Linked DNA regions of Macaca fascicularis. The protein of the gene in region 1 interacts with the protein of each later gene in a biochemical or structural test. Links are inferred from orthologs where the notes say so. Each region holds a gene or a part of one and is shown on either strand. Other genes may lie near its edges.

Region 1 (4,504 bases):
GTATTTATGTCTGGTGATTGTGTTAAACACTTGGAGAGGTAGTGAAAGATACAGCCAGTTACTTCTGCTAACTAAAGTTGAAATTATGCACTTATTATAACCTTTTCTAACAATGTGAGAAAAACAGAGTAAATATATTAAATTTGTTTCACAACAGATGCTTAGGTTGTTAATATTTAAGATGCCTATTCATGCTATTCCTGTCTGCACATTTGTCAAAAATGTAAGCTTGAATGCTAATGTTTGCCAGCAGACTAGAGCAGCCAGTATATGAATGTACTACTGTTCTACAAAATAATATGCAATAGAAATAAAGGACTACTGCTAAATCATAGCACTAGTATCATACAGGAGATGAGAGGTTTTTAGAGCAAACACCTCAACCTTGGTTTTCTTCAGCCTTAAAGCATGGGTTTTTGTTTTTGATTTTTGCAGCTACATTTGACCACAGAATAAATCTCACATTACTGACATCTCAGAAAAATCCACTTTAGATAGAGTGTAAATTTCAACTAAGTTTCAACGGGATGAGTTACTCTGTCAGCAGTACAAACACCGTAAATATCAGAGATTGCTTAGGACAAAATCTGACACCGAGTGGTCACATTTTACTCATTCTTACCCTACCCCCTCCCCCTTGAGAAAGTCAGGTCCCCTGGCCTCCAAGTATGCAAACATGGAACCCCAGTCAGTCAGAGCAGTAAGGTTCTCTCCGGGGAATAGGGCATCTTTCTGTTTTCCCTGTCTCTTTTATAACCATGTGGAGTCCAAGTCTTAGAACATTTGCTTGTAAGTCCGGAATGCCGCTGAGAAAGTTCACCAAGGAAGGGCGCAGAGGTCAAAGTTGCCAACCAGGACACTTTGAGAGAGGACCCTGTGGTTGACATTTGTTAGTGAAATTTGCAACACCCCAGTGGAGGCCAAGGCCAAAACCTTCAAGGAGATCCCTATGCCCCTTTCCCCTGTTGGTCTTCTGAGGTCATCCCAAGAGGAACCTGTGTTTCCCCGGTACGCACGTGGCACTCCCCGGACCTGCCACCTGCCTGCTTCGTCCTTCTCGTCGTGGTTTCCCAAACCCCAGTTCTGCCGCCCCAGGAGCCTTGGCACTGGAGCAATAGGAAAAGGCCACCGCGCTCGGGTCTGGAGAGCAGGAGGGAGACACGGTGTGGACTCCGAGGCTGCACCTGTGATGTCCCGGCCCCAGCTAGGAGGATGGCCCTTTCTTCTGCCTCTTGCCCAACTCCAAACCCACATTCACGCCAGCAGCCTCTCCCGGACCAGCCTCGCTACAGCCAGCGAGGGCTCGAAATGGGGAGTGCCGCCGCTTTCAAACTCCGGGCTCCAACTTGAGCGCCCCGGCGCCCGAGTAGCTCCCGGGATGCAGAAGTTGCCACAAACTTCCCAGGCCCCTCTTCGCCGATGCTTACAATCAGTCGCGCCGGCAGGGAGCGGAGGGAGGCGGAGATGGACCGGGGAAGGATGCTGAGCAGACTCGCGATCCGGTGGGGGAACATTAGCACTCCGGCAGCCCACTCCTCCAGGCACCTTACTGCCCGCCCGGCTCCAGAACGCACAGAGAGGCTCCCCCTTTCCCCATTTGCTTCCTTCGGTCTTTTCCACTCCCCTTTCCTCTTCTAAAAGGGGCCACACCGGTGACCTGAAGGAGTTTGTTCAGCCAGGGTCTGTTGGGCAGGTGTGGTGATGTGTCCACACCCAGACAGAGAACAAACGGCATCTTCAAGTGCCCTATCCCGATCGCTCTCCCCTACTTTACCAGCCCACCCGTCCGAGGTCCGACTGCGTGAGAAAAGGGGCTCAGAAGACCCTTGAAGCCCTTCGCCCACGAGAGGGGAGCCCAGCCGCCCCAACAGGGGACGCGGGGTGGGTGCTACAGAGAAGTTTGGTTTGATTCCGGAAAAAGAGAGACAGAGATAAAACAGTAAGAGTAACAAGGGGAAAAGGGAGGCAAAAGAGCAGAACTCACTCAGGCATGGACGTTGGGGGCGGCGGTGGCTGTCGAGTGCGGGCCTGAAACCAGGAACGGCTCCCCGGGCGGGCGCGCCGGCGTCGGACTTCCGAGGCGGCGGCTTCTGCCTCTCCTGCCGCCGCCGCCGCCGCCGGAGCTGCGGCTGCCGCGGAAGTTAATTGCAACTTGACTTCAAGTTGTCCTCTTTCCCCATCCGAAGTGGGCGTTTAAAGGGGAGAGCGAGGCGAGGAGCGAGCGAGCGAGCGCGCGGGGCCAAGGGAAGGAAGGGAAGGAGGGGGAGGGAGGAGATGTTAACGGGCGGGGTGGGGGGGGGGAGAAGGGGGAGGGGGCGGCGGCGGGGGCGGGAGGGGGAAGGGGCCGGCGGGAGCTGCTCTCGGCTCGGCGGTCGCGGCGCCCGCAGTCTGGAGGCGCACCGGAGCGGCCGGAGCGCCCCCCGCGGGAGCCCGCAGCCACCCGGGACGCGCATCCAGCCGTGGCGCTTCGGGCCGGGCACGCTGCGCCCGGGGGCTCTGCAGACCCCGCGCAGCCGCCGCTTCGGAGCTTGTGCGGCGCGGGCTGGCCAGCGGGGCGGCCAGGGCCCGGCCCGCCTCCCTAGCGCCCGCCCGGCTTCTCCCCCTGGCGGTGGGAGCCTCGGCGGCCGCTGGCTACACTAGGCGCACTGAAGCCCGAGCTGAGCCGAGCCCGAGCCGCCGCCGCCGCCGCCGCCGCTGCTGCGCGCGGCTCCCGGGCTCCCTCCCAGCGCGCCGGCCGGGGTGTGGGGGGCGGCGGGCCGGAGGGGCGAGGGCGGGCGAGGGGGCGCGCACGGGGGTTGGCGCGGAAGACAGGACCCTCAGCCTCGAGGGGTAAGTGTGGGCGCTTGGGGGTGCGCTTGTGGTGCGCGGCGCCGTTCTCGTCGCCCGCCAACCCTGCCCCCTCACCTCTCCGGGGCCCCCACCACGCGCACCCCTCCTGTTGTCGCCTGCGGCTTCCTCTTGTTGTTCGTTGTTTGGCTGGGTTTTGGGGGGTGAGTAGAGGGGGTTACTGTAGTGTGTGTGCAGGCGGAGGAGGAAGTCAGGTGAGAGGCCTCGAAGCACCCCCACCCCAACCCAGCCTGCGTGGGGTGTATGCTTCCCCACTAGGGGCATGTGGGCCAATTTTTTTTTTTTTTTTTCTCTGTCAATGTTCGGTCGAGACGATGTTTCCTAGAGGGCCTCCTTCACTTACAGCCTGGTCTGTCCATCTCCCTTCATGCCACCCTCGTCCCTCTTAGCCCCCTATCCAGGAGCCTTGCCCCCCAAGTGAGGAGCACGTGGCGGAAGGAGGAGCAGGCCCTCTCTTGAAGACCCCCACGCTGTGACCCAGCCCATTTGTTTAAATATTTATCCTCACGTCACCAGCTGTACTTTTCAGCCCACTGGAACAAGACGCCTAAGCAAGGTCCAGTTTCCTCAAAAAGCTGGGGGCAAAGCGGGAGAGATGAGGATTTTATTGACAGGGGACTTGGGAGAGAAGGGGTCAAGGAACCTTCCCAAGTGGAGACTGAAACTCAAAATATCTCTACAAAAAGACTAGGGTGACTGGAGGCTCAGGACCGCCGGCTTAGGAGAAACTGGAGCTCCATCAACTTTATTTCTCTCCCCCTGCCTCTCCTCCCCTCAGCTCTGAGGAAGCTAACAGGTCTTTTGTTTTGTATTGTGTAGCCTTTGGGAAATTTGCATTGAGTATGTCAACAGAAAATTACTACTGTTTACTCAAAGTTAAAGGGATTGCAGAAAGAGAAAACATAGTTTTTACTTTTCCTCCTCTTTGTACGCGTGTGTGTATTTGGCAAGAAGTGTAGTTAGGTTCATGGCATGAACTGCAAAACGTCAGGTTGTAACAATAAGGACTGTAGAGCTGCCTAGGTGTATTTTTAGAAGCCGCACTTTCTTGAATTCCTTTCACACAAGGCTTGCTCTCTCATTAAGTCCCCATAAATAATTTTATTGAGAGAGGAGGGAACTGTGGAAGCAGGAGGGAGATTGCTAAGATTTCCATCCTGCCAGCGCACAGCACTGTTTGCAGGGAAGTTCCTGGAAAGTGATTGTGGGCTGAGAATTCAGTTTTTCCTAAAAGCTCTGTTAGGTCCTGTTGTGTCAGATGGCTATGAATAAAGCACGCTGGGAAAATCCTGATATCCGTGCAGTCTTATTTTATCCTTTACACAGTGGTTGATTCGACTTTCAAGCCCTGGTAACAAACACATCAACTGTGCTGTATTTTTGTGTGGTTTTTCTAAATAAAGGAGAATACAGCATGTATTCATGCTGCTTTTCCCCCGTATCCATGGTTATTGAATTCCCTGGAATTTATTCATTTTTTTTCAGTTGATCATCAGTTTATGCTGAGACCATAATTCCAAACATATAGGAATTTTTTTAAATTATGAATTACGGTTCTTTTAGTGAACCAACCCTCCTTTTTAAAGACACAAGTGCCCACCACAACTCCTAGTTGTGTAAAGCAAAGCAAAAAGATATAAATGATTATAATGAGGAA
Region 2 (4,399 bases), on another chromosome or scaffold:
ATCCAGGTCACTGGTAAAGGTACTGGCCTTCCTAGGCGCAGGGACACTTTATTCATAGTAACCCAGATGTTCTATGCAGATAAGGGTAGTTTTGATGGTGAGAAGGGAGTTTATTTGATATCCTTCATTTTTTCCATGAGGTATGAGACAAAGTTGATTAGTAAAAAGTGGGGGTTGGGGAGGAGGTATATAGAAGGCTTTTTTTTTTTTTTTTTTTTTTTTTTTTGAGACGGAGTCTCTCGCTCTGTCTCCCAGGCTGGAGTGCAGTGGCCGGATCTCAGCTCGCTGCAAGCTCCACCTCCCGGGTTTACACCATTCTCCTGCCTCAGCCTCCCGAGTAGCTGGGACTACAGACGCCCGCCACCTCGCCCGGCTAGTTTTTTGTATTTTTTAGTAGAGACGGGGTGTCACCGTGTTAGCAAGGATGGTCTCGATCTCCTGACCTCGTGATCCGCCCGTCTTGGCCTCCCAAAGTGCTGGGATTACAGGCTTGAGCCACCGCGCCCGGCCCAGAAGGCTTTTAGTAGAGACAAAAAAGAATGAAATAATCCTTCCATCAAGTCTACTTAAATGTCAATTTAGTGGATAAAACTCTCCCAGAATTAAGTACATCTCCCAAACCCTTCTTCTTTCTCAATGGACCGTTTGCTCCCTTCTGGTACTCAAAAAATAACATTTGAAATTGTATCTTTGTTCGTTCACTTGTCTGATTCCCCATTAGAGAACTACAGAAGGGCAGGGACTTTGATTCCCCAATGTATATTTAGCCGTTAGCACAAAGCCAACAGATAGTCACTAAATACATTTTTTTTAAACAAAAATGTTAATGAACACCTTCAAAATTTTGTCTTACGCCACCTCGCAAAAATTCTTGTTTGTGCAAGTCACATTTCCTTTCTGAGCTTTCATTTCTGAATCTATACCCTGGGAATTATCTCTTCCTTGCCTACCTCACCGCGTTATCAAGAGGAGGATCTGAGCCAATAATGCTACAAATGCTTCATTAAGGGCCCCTTAAATGTAACGGATTTCTATTTTTAGCCCACTGGTAGCCTCGCAAGTAGCAGGTGCTGAAAAAGCCTTGCTTATTAGGGGTTGGAGGACAGCATTGTTTCTGTGACCGTAGGCGTCGAAGCTATGCAGAAGCGTTCCACGGACCGCGGAGAGATGGGGCTCAGGCCAGCATCCCTCTCGCCCCTGCCCTTCCCGGGAGGCGCTGGCCGAGCGAGGATGGGGGTGCTGGGAAGCCGAGGGGGTAGTAACTGTCAAACCTCGCCGCTTGGCGCCATTATTTAAATAGAACGTGCCTGTCTCGCAGTTGTACGTGTCCGGGGCGGGGCTTCGAGCGCCCTAAGCGGGGCGGAGGCCAGAGGCGGGCTGGGAAGGTGGAGGGGCGGGCCGGGGCGGGGCCAGGCCGGCTAGAGGGGCGGGTCTAGCGGCGGCCCCCGGCGAGGTTCACTGCGCTTGCGCTGACAGACGCAAGATGGCGGACAGTGCGGAACTAAAGGTAAAGCGCAGCTCGAATTCACTTCTAATATTCGGCCGCGGAGACGGCGCCTCTGGTGCCTGGGGGGATGGGTCCGACCCTGGGGGGCCGCTCGGGCCTGACTCCACCCGGGCCTGGAGTTGTAGGGAGAGAGGCGCGCCCGGTCTCAGCAGAGGGGGCCCGCCTGCGGCGGGCCGCGGGCCCCGGGTGCCTCGGGGGCGCTGACGGGTCGTCCCCGGCGTGTTATTGTTGTGGGCGCCTCTGGCGGGGGTGGCGGGGGAAGAGATAGGGAGTCGGGAGGTAGGGGCTGCAGCTGTCTCCTGGGCTCGGCTTTTTCACCTTCTAGTTAGCCTCCCCGCCCCCCATGGGGAGCTGGGGCTGGGGGCAGGGTGCTCTTGTAGGGGGGATTGGGAAAGCTCCCCGTGGCCGCTTCCTCTTCCTCCTTTGCAGTCCCGGGCTCCTGTCAGGCGCTCTTCTCAGACCCCCGGGAACTTGGCTCCGGCCGCCCCGCCCCTCCGTGGATCCCTGTCGCCCCCGCCCCGGACTCGGCTCTCCCCGGCTGCTCGCTTTCAGGAAGCGCCTGGGGTGCCCCGCTTGAGGGAAGCGCGATCCCGGGGCGATAGGGTGGGGATCTGGGGGAGAAGCTCTGGTAAAGTTTAGCGAGCCCCGGGCCGGCATTGGGGTTCGGCTGAGAGGTAGCGGGGGAGAGTCAGCCTGGGCGGGACGTTACTCTCTCTCTGATTCCGGGCAGCCGAGGGGAGAAACCCCCTCGAAGAGTGTGTGTTTGGAAGCAGTGTTGGGAGAGGGGGATGTAGCTACCTCTCTCCCTTCTCTTGCCTTGGCTGGTGTGGAGGGTGAGAGGAGCCTTTGGGGGTCTCTGCACACACCATGATGGCGATGCTGTAGCTGATGGAGGTGAATGGTTCGTGTTTATATCCCCCCATTGCCTTTTGTTTGTAGGGACATCTTGCTGGCCATGTTGATTTGAACGAAATTCTCCCCTCATGCTACTCTAACCCCCGATAAATAGAACGTTCCTCTTAACTGTACCAATTACTCACGCCTCACGAAATTAGATGAAAGGGTGCCCCCTTTTCCCCGCTTTTCTCCCACCCCAATCTTTACCTGATGATGGCTTCTTTACCGAAGCAGATATACCACTACACAAGCAGTTGGGGGAGGGGGGGTGGAACCCTTATGATTGGATTGTGACAAATGGGGCTCCGTTTGAATAATTTTGGTTTAGTAGCAGGCAGTTCTTAACTAACGCGTATTATTTCGAGGCTCTGAACGCGATCTTCTCTGTGGCTTCCTGTGTGTGTGAACCCAGCAGCTGGTTATGTCTCGACCCAGAGAACTGACATCTCTGTCAGAGTGGAGATTGGGATATACAATTGTAAATCTTTGGAGAGAGTCTTCTTTTTATAATTAATACAAATTATTTAATTTTTTTCTCCGTTATAATGAAACGACAACTTCTGGAACAACCAAATGCCAGATTTGATTCTGTAGAGTTTTTCCTGTGGAATATCCTCACCGAAAGATCTTTTCTCCTAATAACTTCACAATGTTTACACTCCAAGATTTAGGTATTAAAGTATTGGCTTTGAGTGTCATTCTTTTAAAATGTACTTATAATTACAACTTTATTTAAGGGAGAGCAGATTTAGAATGGATGGTTTTGGGTTTTCTCCAGTTTCAAACTATTGACTGAAATGAGAAAGCCTTAGGAATTTGAATATTTGGAGATAGTTAACCCTTGAAATAAAAAAAAAGCACACAACTTTAAGACATGTTTTCTATGATTTTTCTCTTATGATAGAGTCATCATGTTGCTGTGATCTTTGCCTTCTAGTATTTATTTTGTTAGGAGTTCTTTTGAATGATAGCTAATCAGTTGTTATACATGGACCATAGAATAAAGCCGAAAAGCTTGTGCAGACTATATTGTCACTCTTGATGCTGTCCAAAGAAACTAGTATGGAAAGCACATGCTGAGAGATTTCCTTCTTTGTTCTTTCTCATTTTAAGAAAGTGCCTTTGGGGATGGATCAGATCCCTGGTGTGAGTCTTGTTAGGTAAAGTTTCTCTTTACGAAAGTGAACCAGTATCAGATAAACACCAAACACTTGAAGAAATGTTATTTTTCTAAAATTAGTCTCGTTTTTTGCTCTCTCCCAAATCTACTTGAGTTTTTCCAGAGGAAGTTTTTTTTTTCTACTTTTATGTTCCTGTTGTATAATTTTTCAAATTATAATAACTGTTTTGACATGTTGGTATGTCATTGTGTGTGTCTGAGACTTTGAGGAGCTGTGTGATAAATTGCTTAGCTGGTGATAACTGCATTAAAAAAATTTGGTTAATACTTTATTGTGGTTAGATTTGCTGTTCTTTTTTTGGGGGGTGGAGGAGGTGATCTCAGGAACGCCTACCATAGTTATTTGAGAATGTGTTAAAAAAGAATGTGTATATATAATTTTCTGTGCAGTAAGGTTTGGCAGATACTCCTTTTGGAAATGATATTTTCGGAAGGCTTTTTGTTTGTGATTTTTTGGAGGTAAATATGCATTCCTAATATACGAAAAATCAGTAAGAAGAAGAAAATCTAGTTTTTTTGAAATTTTAAATGGGAATAGAGTACTTCAACTGTGAAGCTTTGCATAACATTCAGTGACTTTTCATTATCTTAGGTTTCAGCCCCATACTTCATTTTGCTGTGTATTCATAATTATTTTCCTCATGGCTTTTTTAGTGAGTCCTTTTAAATCTATAAGAAATCTGCAAAGATCAGATGGGAAAAACGGATAGATCTTTATCCCCTGTAGGAATTGCGCAAGCTGCAACACTTCAAGATATTGCCAATAAAAATTAGATTGTGAATCATACATATCAAAATGAATTCTCTATGCACAT

What was found.
Region 2: the proteins of SATB1 (region 1) and PIAS1 form a complex in vitro, tested with the Homo sapiens proteins (2 studies listed by BioGRID, with this or other methods). The link is inferred for Macaca fascicularis from reciprocal best matches to the Homo sapiens genes SATB1 and PIAS1.

What each region holds. Positions count from the first base shown.
Region 1 is NC_088376.1:29,937,802-29,942,305, reverse strand, and holds the start of SATB1 (DNA-binding protein SATB1), read right to left. Parts: upstream 2,979-4,504; 5' UTR 2,905-2,978; intron 2,830-2,904; exon of another isoform or gene 2,386-2,829; intron 2,250-2,385; exon of another isoform or gene 1,985-2,249; intron 1-1,984. UniProt on the Homo sapiens protein: Crucial silencing factor contributing to the initiation of X inactivation mediated by Xist RNA that occurs during embryogenesis and in lymphoma.
Region 2 is NC_088381.1:44,795,699-44,800,097, forward strand, and holds the start of PIAS1 (E3 SUMO-protein ligase PIAS1), read left to right. Parts: upstream 1-1,471; 5' UTR 1,472-1,483; coding exon 1,484-1,507; exon of another isoform or gene 1,508-2,395; coding exon of another isoform or gene 2,396-2,401; intron 2,402-4,399. UniProt on the Homo sapiens protein: Functions as an E3-type small ubiquitin-like modifier (SUMO) ligase, stabilizing the interaction between UBE2I and the substrate, and as a SUMO-tethering factor. Catalyzes sumoylation of various proteins, such as CEBPB, MRE11, MTA1, PTK2 and PML.